Linked DNA regions of Drosophila melanogaster. The gene in region 2 interacts genetically with the main gene of each other region. Each region holds a gene or a part of one and is shown on either strand. Other genes may lie near its edges.

Region 1 (8,027 bases), about 16 Mb from region 2:
ATTCTGGACAACGATTATATGATAATAGTGATAAATAATAATAACAAGGTGATGGTGATGGGGAACTTAGGAGTGAGCATTCCTGGCCATGTGAACGAAGAGGCCGACGGGTCCGTCGCACTTCTCGCCGCACATGTTGCACTTGAACACATCGTCGCAGCTGTGGTAGCCCATGTGAATGGTGTAGAGCACGGCGTCCTTGAAGAAGATATCACAGTACTTGCACTCGTAGATGGCACCCGCCGCCGCCGGAGTTCCGGATGGAGGAGCTGCAACCGCTGAGGTGGTTCCATTGCTGCTGGAATTGCTGCTGCTGTTGCCGTTGCTATTGCTGCTGGCATTGGAGCTGTTCCCCGAGCTGGACGCCGTCGAACTGGCACTGGTATTGGCCTGCGGCACATGGGCCGTCTCCATCGACTCATCTGCCGAACTGGTGCCCGAGCAGTGCTCCTCGGGCATGGGTTTGCGTCCGGCAATGGGCGAGGATGCAGTTGGCATGGGTGTGCTGGGTACTTTCAGTTGCTCGGGAGATGTCATGGCCTCCGATCGCAGTTGTAACAGGGTGTCCAGCTTGAGGACGCGTCCCTTGCGTCTCGAGGCATTCGAGCTGCTCATCAGAGGCGTGGCCTCCTCCTCCACCTTGAGATTCATGGCCAGCGGCTGCTGCGGTTGTTGCTGCTGCTCATCCTCCTTCACTGGCGTTCCTTGGGACAGATCCATGGCAGAGTCCACTGACTTACGCTCGTACTCATCGTCCTGCTCCTCCTCCTCATTGTCGCTCTGCTGCTGGTTCTGTTGCTGCAGTTGCTCTCGCATTCTTGGCGACAATTGGGCCAAGACAGCGGCCTGTTGTTGGGCGGCCAGCATCTGGAGATTGAGGTTCCAGTAGGGGAAGAAGGCCATGTTGCGGTTCTGCTGCAGAAGGCTGGCCAGAGGAGGCAGAAGATTGGCTGGACTGGGCAAGCTGGGCGTCTGTTCCACACTGGCCACACTCTTGGCAGGAGAGGCGGGCAGCGGGAGCACTGGAGATGCCGCCGGAGGAGCGGAGTTGCCTTGAACCAGAGGGAATCCTTGCAGGGCGGCACTCAGCTGAGATGTGGCGACTGGCTGAGCTGGCTGAGATTGCTGTTGCTGCGGAGCGACAGCTGCAACATTTGACTTCCGGCTGCCGCTGCCACTTCCTCCACTGGCAATCGGTCCACCATTCTTGCTCTTCGGACCACGACGCGTGCCGTAAACATCGATGACCAACGAGGGATTCGGGGTGCCATCCTCGTCCAAAACCATGCCGGGCTTGTGACCATACTTGCGCAGATGCAGCTTGAAGCTGTGGCAATACTTGGTGGCGTAATCACAATCCGCACAACGGTACTGATACACAGAACTGTGCGACTTGCGGTGCGAGTTTAGCATGGATTTGTTGACACACGTGTAGCTGCATTTGTCGCACTGGAAGGGCTTTTGGTTCTTGTGCTTCCGGATATGGTACTCCAAGTGGTGCTTGAACTCGGTGACGAACGGGCACTTCGGGCACTGCAGGATCTTGTCTGGTTTCATGTGGGTGCGGGTGTGCGCCCAGAAGTCCACCTTGGTGATGGCCACCACGCCGCAGGTCTTGCACTTGTAGTTCTTCATCTTGCCGTGCGAATTGTAGATGGGCATCCGGATGTTGGTATCATCGTCCTCGGACTCGGCCATGTACTTCATGTCCTCGCTGGAGTTCGACATCTGATCGTGCTCCTTCTCCGGCTCAATATTCGACTGACTCGACTTGGCCGGCGACTTAGGCGGTGTGACATCCATGGGTGGTGTTAGTGCCTGCAACTTCTCGCTGCTGCCAGTGGCAACTGCAACGGGCGCAATTGTGGAGGCAGATGTGGGCGTGGGCTGCGGACTGGGTCGCAGATTGCCGCCATAGAAGTGCTGCATGGGATTGGGCAGACCAGGTGGCGTCAGCGGATTGAATCCACCCATCAGATGGTGATGGTGATGATGTTGCTGCTGGGCTGCCTGGAAATGCTGCTGGTACTGCTGTTGCTGCAGCAACTGTTGCTGCAAGTTAGCATCGTAATGCTGCAGGCTGTTTTGATCGTTTTGGCTGGGTGATGGGGTCATGGCGCACAGGGTATCCATGGGTTGCTGCTGAAGCTGCTGCTGCTGCTGCTTGAGGAACTGTTCCAGGTGATTGGTCGAGGGAATGGGCGATTGGCGCGGACTGCTGGCCACGCTATTCCCGTCGAGATGATGACCTGGCTCCTGTTTGATATTTGCCGCGAACATGCTGTTGTACCAGGCGTTGTGCTGCTCGTAGTTGGTCGTGGCTGTCGTCTCCCAGTTCTGCATCTTGGCGGCTCTAGACGGCTGTAATGGATAAGAAAACAGAGAGAGTGGGGTTAGTGGGCATATTCATTTATTCATTCATGCACTGCGCCTGCGTCGAGTTTTTTCCTCTTTTTTTCCGCTTGTTTTTCATTTTATTTTTCCTCGCTTTTATTTTTTTTTTCTCTTTTTTTGGTGTGCTTGCGGCACCACCCCTAACAAAAAATACGTCAGGGGTGGCTGGGCGGCACCCACCCCCTGAAGGCGATTTGAGTGATTTTGTGTTCAAAATGGAGACACTTGGTAATGGCTAACAATATCCTACCGTTTCGTGGCCGCTCAGTGCGTATGATTGCGATTGTATCGAAGTATATTCCAAATTTGTCGGGATTTTCGTAAGGATTTGCAAGTATATTATTGGTGCTGCTTCTGTTGTGTTGTCGCAGTGGTAACAAACTCGTGACTGACTGAACAATTGCAACAGGCATTAGTTTATATATCGCTCAGGTAGACGGATGCACGCGTCAAGGGATTAGATGGGCAGAGGTGACGGGAAGTCAGGTACAGGTCGCGGATCGGTCGGGAATCGAGGATCACGGATCGCGGATTGAGGATTGCGCTCTTGATCCATTCTGGATTAGAGCAGAAACAAAAAATTATGCGCACTTGGATTTGGATGATCCGGGAGCTTAGCGGATGGCCAGCTTAGCAGCGAGCTGCGAATTTTCCACCGGTTTTCTATGGGGATTACGTTGGTCAGGAGTCGACAGCAGGAGTAGGCAGCTAGCGTGGGCAGTTTCGTAGTTAATAATAAAAAGTAAAAAGGATTGCGGGACTTAACTAAATTAACGGATCAGAACTGCTTACACCTGCGGGAAAACTCTAAGGACCAACTAAACTATATGCATAATATGTGCAGTATAATTATTACACACCCATTTGAAAAACATTTTCCTGACAACAATTTTCCGCCAGACATTTCACTTTGATTTGCGTAGTTTTTCTAATAATTCTCGCATTAAAATTGCTTGTTGCCTATATTTTTTCCATTTCCAATTTCACACTGAAAAATTGTGCAGTTGCTGCATTTTTGGCTAATTGTTTGTGCTTTCAAGTAAATATTATTAAAAACGCAAAACGGGAAAAAGGGGCATTTACGGAATATTATTATGGGAGGATGGTGCTGTGCTATCTGGCAGCTAAAATATCTACAATACTTAGGCATAATTGATGGTTCAGGAAACAGAAAGTGCACCACACAAAATGAAGCTTAGCATATTTATTTAAATTCGCTTTTGTGGATATTTTTAAAGAAAGCCAAAATTAATTGCTCGGCAAGTGTGTTAGTGTGTGTGCGCACTATGAAACAAAGAGAATTTTCGCCTTTCGTCTGGGCTTTTTTGTGCCATGCCCAACAACAGCAACAAAGCCAAACTAAAGGCCAAGTGTAAAATTAATATTACGCCGGGCAGGGGCATGGGCCAAGGGGGCAGGGGTGGGGGCATGGGGACCATGCAGTGGGGGTTAGTGGCGTGGTGTGGCCACAACGAGTGCAGCCAGGCAACCGAAACTGCAAAAGTAAACTAAACATGTGCTAGTCGTTTTTGGTGCCTCCCCCCCCACCCCAACACCGCCCCCTTTTTAACCCTCTAAAAATATCATGAAAATGGCAAAAATGGAAAAATTCGAAAACGCAGAAAATGCGCCACACAAAAAATGTTTTTGTTGAAAAATCCGTACAAAAAGCAAGCCAAGAGCAGGATATGCCTGCTTGTTTGCAGGCGTATATAAAATATATGTATGTATGCGTATACATATGTGTAGTTGCAACCGTTATGTTGTTGGCTTAGAACAACTTGTTGTTTTTTGGAGCTGCATTCGTTTAGGGAAAACTGCACTGCTGCTGCTGACTGAAGTGATTCAATGTCATTTGCGGTTTATAAATATATCCCGTATAATATGTGCATATTTATTTTTATGCGCCTAACAAAGCCCCATTTGTTTGAAATGCGCTCAGTTCTTTTTGTCGGCAAACATTAAAACTGTCGGATGACAATCAATTCTGCAAAAGATCGTGCAATAATGATTCCCATCATCATCCTAAACAAAAAAAAAAAACAAAGCCTGCGAGCGTCACATAGGTGTATTCATTATATTTGAAATGCATTTTGGCAAGTGCCGAACTATTTGCCATTAAAAAATTGCCACGTTGACTTTGAATTATAGTTCGATGTCTAAATTTAAATTATTAAAAAAGAAAAGTCGAAAATGCATTTGCCGAAAGAAGAGCGAAAAGAAATGCTAAAAATTGAAGGGGTTATTTGGGGGGCAGGAAGGCGAAAAAAAAACAACATGAAAGTCGACATGTAAACAAATAAAATTAGCTGTCAGGCGTAGAGGGGGGCGTGGCCAGGGGCGTTGCTTAGGAGGAGCAAATGAGGAGGGGGGGGGGTCGGTTGGGGGTTGGATATACGCTGCAGTTCTAGGCAAAAACAGACAGAGCGGGCAAAAAACAAGTTCACCCGAAGATCGGCCAAAAGCCAGACAGATTTTAAAATATTGTTTTAGAATTTTTGCCATTTGCATTTTTAGCAATGATTTACCACTCTGTGTGGTTGTGTGTGTGCATGTGTGTGAGATCTCTTGTTTGTGTTCCTAAGGTTAGACAGAAAAAGAAGCACTCGATTACAAACAACAAGAAGAGAACAAGAAAATGTGCAGAACTAGAAGAAAGTTGAGTACTTGGGATTAAAGGTGATTATGACATAGAATAAGCAAATTGGTTATCAGTCATCAGATTAGCATGAATTAATAAAGTAAAATACATTAAGCATAGTGCATAATAGCATATAAACGAACTATTTAAATCTGTTTCTTTTGAAAGTATATCACATGATGAATTATAATTAAACAACTATATATCGAATATATTCTATAAAAAAAAACAGATTTCGTATCAATTGAGAACTAAATTAAAATTTACAGGGCGTATGTAAATCCTCACAAAAACTGTGTATATTCTGGATACCCCAACATTTTGGCATTTGCTCCCGCAAAAGCGATTTGTAATTCTTGTTTATTTGTTTATCCGCGGAAAGCTTTTGCGAATTTCTACCTCCATGTGTTTTTTACGATTTATTGGAGGTCGAATGCAGTGTATAACTAGGATATTGGATGGTACGCCCAGTTACTTACCTTGCGGACAGTCCAAGTGCAATTCTGCGGGAGAATTTGGAAACGGGAACCGGGAGCAGGAGCAGGAGCACGTAAGTTTTCGCTTTTCGCTCGCGGACTCTCTCTTTCCCACTCTCTCGCTTGACCGCGGCACGGTTACCGTTAGACCAACACGCACAGTGCGTGCGAGGGGGAGCGGCGATGTGGGGGCTCCTTGCTCTTCGTTTTTGTCTATTTTTTGGGCCTCGCTTTTTAGCTTGCTTTTGTGCTTTCTTTTTCGCGGAATTCGCGCATGTGCGGGATGTGGTCTTTGCCAAAAAATAAGTTTTCGGGACAAAAGTCTTTTTGCAATTGGTTATCTTTTAGCACAAGCACGAAGTTTAATTGTATTTAATGGCAATATTTGTTTTGATAGCAGTTACGTTTCGTCCTTTGGATGTTTGGTTATTTTTGTATTTCAGTGGCTGCCTGTCAATGCTGGCGACTTTCGTTTTCGGGACTCGGAGCACAACTGACCAAACTCACGCTCAGCGGGCTCTTCTAATAGCTGAAAATCTCCTCACTGCTCCTCACAACAGTGCACTCGCCAAAAAAGAACTCAAATCTAAAATCTCAATTGCAAAGCAAAAACAAATGCCAGAAGTGCAACAACACAAAGGCGCACGAGAGCCGTTACACGGAGAAGCAGAAATCGAAATGAGAGAGCAGCCGGAGAGCATCAACAACGTAACGACGAAACTCACTCAAAACGGATACGGATGCTAGCTGTAAATCTGAGTGACTTTCCCCATCCCCAAAAGCAATAACTAAACAGCATCCCCTTCGTGGCGTTCGCTCTTTCACTCACTCACCCACTCTCTCGCTCTGACTCGCTCATTTTATCCTTTTGCATTTTCTGGCGCTGCATTTTGGCCGAATGCAGCTGCCTTTTTGGCTCTTTGCCGTTTTTTGGCATCTCCGCTTCACTATTGATTATTGATTTCTGGCCCAAAAGTGAGAGAGCGGAAATGGAGGAAGATGGGGGGCCTTCGCCAATTGTTTTTTGGGCAACTTTAAGCCCAGACACATTAACAACTTAGCCAACTGCAATTGGGACGATGGAAGTTTGGGCCGAGGAGATTCCTTGTTGCTTTAACACATTTTCCTGTTGCTGTGCGTGTTAACTTAATTTGGGCAAAGCTTTGCCACAATTAGCATTCGAAATTCCAAATCTCCTTAAGGTAGTTTGTGCATATTGGGTGTATTCCACCTTTTTAAGCTAATTTCGGAAAATGTATCATTGTTAGCTTGACAAGGATTATGGTTAGCAATAAATGCATATCATTAATAGTATCATTCGGTTTAGACCAATTTTTTTCCCAAGCGGAATGTTCGCTTTTAGAATGATAAATTAGGAGCGATTGTTCTAACTAGGTTTAATGACAAATTTTGGACTAAAAAAAAAAACTATTATTATTATTCATTATTCATAGTTCATTGGTAAAAACCTTTTTTTCTCTATACAATACAAAAGGATAACTTATTATTTGTATGGATCAGAGTTTTTCTAAAGAAAACATACATGCAAATTCATAATTAAGTTCGGAATTAATGTGCCTCCAGCTATTTTATTCAATCTCCTGTTTATGTGGAATATTTGGGCTAAAATCTCCTGTTTATGTCGAATATTTTGGCTAAAACTAAAGTGGAACGGGGAGAAATTAGGGCGTTGGCAGAGGGGGTGGGGAAAATGTAAAAGCAATATTTACAAAACAACAGAGCAAACAAATCGCCGCCGGAATGCAAATTATACAAGTTGCTCTCACATATCCAGAGGAATATATGTGTCAAAAGGACGTCTCGGGAACAGGTAGTACCGGAGGTAGACCTGCCATTGACGTTGACATGGCAAACCGGATTACGAATACGAACTGCAACCGGACTTAGCGAAGAAAGGATTAAAGGACGCAAAGCTACCTGATCGGCCCGCCCAGTTCATTAATCCGCGCATCCGAAGAAGTGCGACTGGAACTAGAGTGATGTGGATTTAAAAGCGATTTAAAAGTTGGCCGTACTTCTGCACAGGACATAATCCAACATTACGCAGTACGCAGGATCACGCAGGATCAGCGCCGCTGATCCGGAGGATCCAGTTAGTCCCGAGCGATTAGCGTTCGCTGATCAGCCCGATTAGCGTTGCTTAGGCGGGCGGGTGCTGTGTGGATCCTACCCAGTTACGTTTGGAAAGTTATGTAAAGTTGAAGTTAAGGACATAACAAATAGTCCCAAGGACCGTCACGCTTGACCTTTTAATTGATGAGCTGCGATATACCTATCCGGTGATCGGGACAAACACAAACATGCTGATGATCATGATCGTCTAATTGCCGAAAGTCCATGCCACGCATGCAAATGATCCTTATCCTTAACCTTTGGCCTGCGGCTGTCTCAACAGAAGTTCCTTCGAGGGGAAGATTGGGCAGATCAACAGGGCGGATCCGCACATCTTTATCTCATGATCTTCGCATCTCCCAAATGATATGCAAATGTATCTG
Region 2 (4,963 bases):
CGGGCAGGCTGCTTGGCTTTTTAGTGGCAAGGATATGTTTCTTGCCAATGCGGCCCCATGCCGGCCATCTATACTCGTGGTCGTCCGTAGTCCGTCGTCCGTCGTCCGTTGTCCGCTGTCCGTATTCCGTAGTCCTGCGTTATTGTTGCTCCTTGTTGTGTATACGCCTCTACTTATATGTACGACTACACTATATCCTTGGGCCTGTGTTTTCGTGTGCGTGTGGCTGTGCGTGTACGTGTGATTGTGCGTTTCGGACATGGATTCAAAAACCTTTCTTAGCGATTTCCCGAAAGGCAGCAACTAGCAACTCTGGCGACACTGCTGCTGTCTTTTTCGTTGCCGTTGTTGTTATTATGGTCAGTGGCCGCCTTCGTTGGCCAGATACAATAGGGAAATAGGGAGCTATGTATGTGCGATTGTGTGTGTGCTCTGCGCAAATGTTTTGCATAGCAACTACTAAGTCTACGACCTCAAAATGCCTATGTGTACACACGCATTATATAAGATCGTAATCTCGGGGCTATCCCACGATGGTGCAAATACTTGTCAGGTTTTTCTTCTCTCGCAGAACTAATCAAAATACACTTTGACTTGAAACTTGCTTGGGAATGATATCAACAATCTATTTAACATGGTTTTTTATTCCTACCTAGAGCTTATCAGCTCGGTAATTAATATTACAAGGAACCTAAACATCTTAATGCGTAACCATGTTAAACATTGGTGTATACCAAGCATTGAATATGTTGTGCACTAAGTATATGAATATGTATGAATATGTCGGCACTTTAATGGAAAACATAAGTTATTGTCCTGCCTACCTATATACACTACAATTATATTATTCTTGGTAGCTAAATATGGGAAATACATATTTTGAAGCTGGCTATCACCTGAAATTTGCAGCTGATTAGTTTCTTGTCCCACAATTTGAATTCGATTATTTCGCCATCTGACATTTCTAAACCGCAGCAATTTGCCTGCAAAAGTCGATGGAGAAACAACCACTATGTCATGCCCATATCTTTGCGATCGAGTGTCCGTTCGAGAATTCCGGTTCCTTCGGCGATCGCCGGTCACGCTCCAGCGAAAAGAGCGACGAAAAGAGCCAAGAAAGCCACTCTGTTGGACGGATTCGCCTTGTTTTCAAGAATGTGGGTTTCCCAAGGGGGGTTTCCCCGTGGGGTCACCACCTCCTGCCGTCATAACTTCGTTCGGTTCGGGCGGCAAAAAGCCGAAGACGAGGACGAAAGCTGCTCTCTCACTGGCTCTCTCCCTCTCTCTCTCTCTCTCTCTTAAGGAAGAGGATGTTCGGTTCTCATTTGCCTCAGCTCTTTGCGAAACGGTCGCGAAAGAGAGGCGAGCCCACGTAATCTGCGATGAAGGCATGTATCAAAACAAAGCGAGGAAAACTGGCCGCAATCACAACAGCAACAACTGCAGCACATGACAGCGGGAAAACTAGCAGAATTATCAGTGACGATAAAAGGCGCACCCCCTACTGCGAAAATTAGACAGGGATTTCGGCTAGGTTTTTCACGTTCTTCTCGCAGATCCGTTGCTCGTTTGATAGTTGTTGCCCAGCGTTTAAGGAAGCAGAAAATGGCTTAGCTAAACGCAAGCAAATGCCTCCTGAGGTTGCACACAGTCTTACACTGGAAAAAATCTAGATTTTACCTAAAACTAATACAGAATACAAGGAAATATAAGCTTGGCAGAAAAGTAATATATACTTTTCATCACAAGCGATCGTATCATCTATTCGTTTATTTGTATGAAATTTCATTTTCATAGTTATAATCATGGAATATATGTACATAACTAAGAGATACAAAATTGCTAAATTATTATACTAAATTTCGAATTCTTACCAAATTTAATAACATTATCTTTACTAAGGTATCAAGATTTTTCTCTCTGTGCTCACACACACACGTGGGCGCAAGAAAGGAGGCCGAAAAGGATGTGCGTCTCTCAATCTCAAAAAGCCTAGCACGAGTATTGCGTCGTCTTCGTTGCACACAGCTGTGTGTCCGCACGTGTGTGTGTGTGTGTGTGGGAGGATGTGCTGTGTTAGTATGTGTGCTCGATATGTGTGTGTGTGAGTGGACACTGGCCTGTGGTTGGGCCGGCCAAAATGCGAAAATGCCAAAATGCGAATATTGCGAACGGGGCAGCCAAAGCGAGAGGACTTCTTCGCCGCCGTCTTGACCGTTATTAATCATTGTACATTTGGCTGTCACCGAAAAAGGCCGCGAATTTCGCAACAGTGAGAGCGAAAGAGAGCGGGCGAAAGAGAGTCCGAGAGAGGGAGCGAGAGAGAGCGACTCACGCACACGTGAAAGAAACAAAAACGACAACTACAAAACTACTAATACCAAGGCAGACCAACTGACCAGCACACAACCACCACTGCAGGACGCATATATCTGCGAGTGTGCTTGTGTATGTGAGTGAGAACGAAACGCCGCATTTCGTGGACGTGCGACTTTAAATTTCCCGTGACGTCGCCGCCGTCGTCGCCGTGCGGAAATTCGCCGCGCTAAAATCAAAATTCACTCAAGTCCGCCGCGGTAGTTTGTCGCCGCACGCTAGCCGCTCAGGTTCGCACATCCACGTCACAGCGACGCAGCGTCACAATATCACAATATCCTTCGACGAGCGCGAGAGAGAGGTCGCACCGCACCGCACCGCATGTCCTGCCGCTAAAATTCGCACGCCACAGCAGCGGTAAACATCACGCCGCATCGCGAGCACAGTGTTCGATTGTGATTGACCGAGTGATGTTATACTTTCAAATGAACAACAACATTAACTGAAAACAATAAATTCAAATCCATGTGAACTATAAGTAAAGTGATTTAAAAACATCGCCGGTCGAGATAAGAATAATTTAACTGCTGCAAATAGTTGCGCTATCACCGAATTTCTCCCGCCTTCGCTGGAAGAAGGCACCGATCCATTTTCGCCCCCGGAAGATAACTAAAAGGTTAGTATTTGATTTCACCGGTGAATTGAGCAATCCGTAAAGTGTAATTGTTAGTTCTGCATTAATTAATAACAGTTAACTGAGTGTTTTAAACACAACTTGAAGAATTGGTGACACAAGAAAAAATATTAAATAATCAAAAAATATTTATTTAAATCGGAAACCAAACATAAAAAGTTTTTCGAGAGATTAGTTTTGAAGATTTATTGTTTACCTTTCTACATAACAAAAACGAATTATTTTTACACAATTTGGAAAACAATATAAGTGCAGTTCTTTGTGTATTTGAATAGTTGCCACATTTTATAAATTAATAAGTACAAATCTTAGTAGGTCCTTCAAATAACAACTTAACAACTTTTTTATACAAAAGAGCAGGAAATATTTTACGAGAAAGTATTTATTCATATTTATTTATAATAATATTCAGGAGTGATAGATATTGTGTATAACATTAATATCTTATGTAATTTTATTATTTACCTCCTAACACTGCGTTAGCAATTACTTAAATTTGCTTTCCATCAAAAATTAATATTTTTAATTTTTTATTTAATTTTTTTACCTCCGAGTTTAGATTCAAATATTACTTTGTCCATATGATACTTGGTTTGTAAAATAAGCTTGAAAAAATGTAAATTTTATATAACTAAAGAGTTTTAGTTAGATTTCCTTTATCTACCAAGTTTATATTGAATTGCAATATTAACAAACACAGGAAACCGGTTTTATTGGCCCCTTAATGTATGCAATACTTTTTGATTGTATTTATGGTAAAAAGTTATTTTCCTATCCGTTTAGTTGTTGAACGCTTCTGTGTCACTATTCTCATCTTGTTTTATAAATTAGAAAGTATTTAATAAAGTTGCTTATTATTATCTTTCTTATTTTTTATTTTATTTATAATTATATTTTTCTCGTACATCATTAGCATTTCAGTGTTGTAAAACAACATCATTCATAACATCACTGATATTTCAACACTAGGAAAATTATCAAAGGATTTACATATTTTTATTTATTTATTATATAACTGTAATTCTGAAAATCGATTCATTGTTTAAAATAGTATTGCCCATACATGAGACCATAGTTAGATAATTTGATAAAGTTCATATTGAATCCCCCGACAATTAATAAATTCGTTCCACTGCGAAATGCCGACACAACATTAATCGGGCTAATCATAAACGAAAACACACAATAAAAAAGGTGCAATAGTGCTTAAAGCCACATAGATCATTGGTGCCAACAGGTCCAACATTACAGCAGACACATGGTTTATTTGCACACACTTAACTGCGGTGAGGGAAGCATCCCAGACATCCCAGACACACACACACTAACACACGATTGGGTTTGGACCAAAGCAACTTTTTCTTTTATCTACGGAATTCTTATTTTTATGTGTTGCCTCGTTTTTGTGTTTTATTTCTTTCTGCATTAGCACAAACGAATGGAGCTATCAAACGCTTGCACATATTAGTACTAGTTTCAGTCGTTGACCTCCATTTGCCAGACTCTCCTGCCCCCCTTCGCTTGCCCCTCCCCCCGCCTCGCTCATCCCGACCCATCCCATTTGACCCTCCTTGGTGTCCTTGCCACATTGCCACATGCATTGCCCCTCTGTGTCTGTGAGTGAGTTCAATACGAAGCCAAAGAAACGAAAAAAATAGTAAATACAATAAAATTATAATTGTATATAGGAAAATCAGAAGCTCTTAGCCCACACACACACACACATACACACTCACGTGTACGATGAAATGGCCAGACGGTTGGCCATTACAGACATACTGACGGGTATGGCCATTCCGGCATACATATGTCCTGTCCTGACTAGGTGTGTGTAAGTGTTCGGGTGTGTGAGTGTGCATGTGTGCACAGCAGCAACATCAGACACAGACGGGCCCCTTCCACACACACTCACTCACACACACACTGACAAACTTGGTGTAATTCTTTTATATT

Evidence for each region.
Region 1: of dan (region 2) and hb, changing one enhances a phenotype caused by changing the other (phenotypic enhancement), as found in Drosophila melanogaster (one study listed by BioGRID).

Annotation. Positions count from the first base shown.
Region 1 is NT_033777.3:8,691,812-8,699,838, forward strand, and holds the start of hb (hunchback), read right to left. Parts: upstream 6,012-8,027; 5' UTR 5,515-6,011; intron 2,790-5,514; exon of another isoform or gene 2,645-2,789; intron 2,362-2,644; 5' UTR 2,344-2,361; coding exon 67-2,343; 3' UTR 1-66. UniProt on the Drosophila melanogaster protein: Gap class segmentation protein that controls development of head structures.
Region 2 is NT_033777.3:25,182,438-25,187,400, forward strand, and holds the start of dan (distal antenna), read left to right. Parts: upstream 1-1,945; 5' UTR 1,946-2,992; intron 2,993-4,963. UniProt on the Drosophila melanogaster protein: Probable transcription factor with a role in the retinal determination (RD) network. Regulates ato expression and is required for normal R8 induction and differentiation.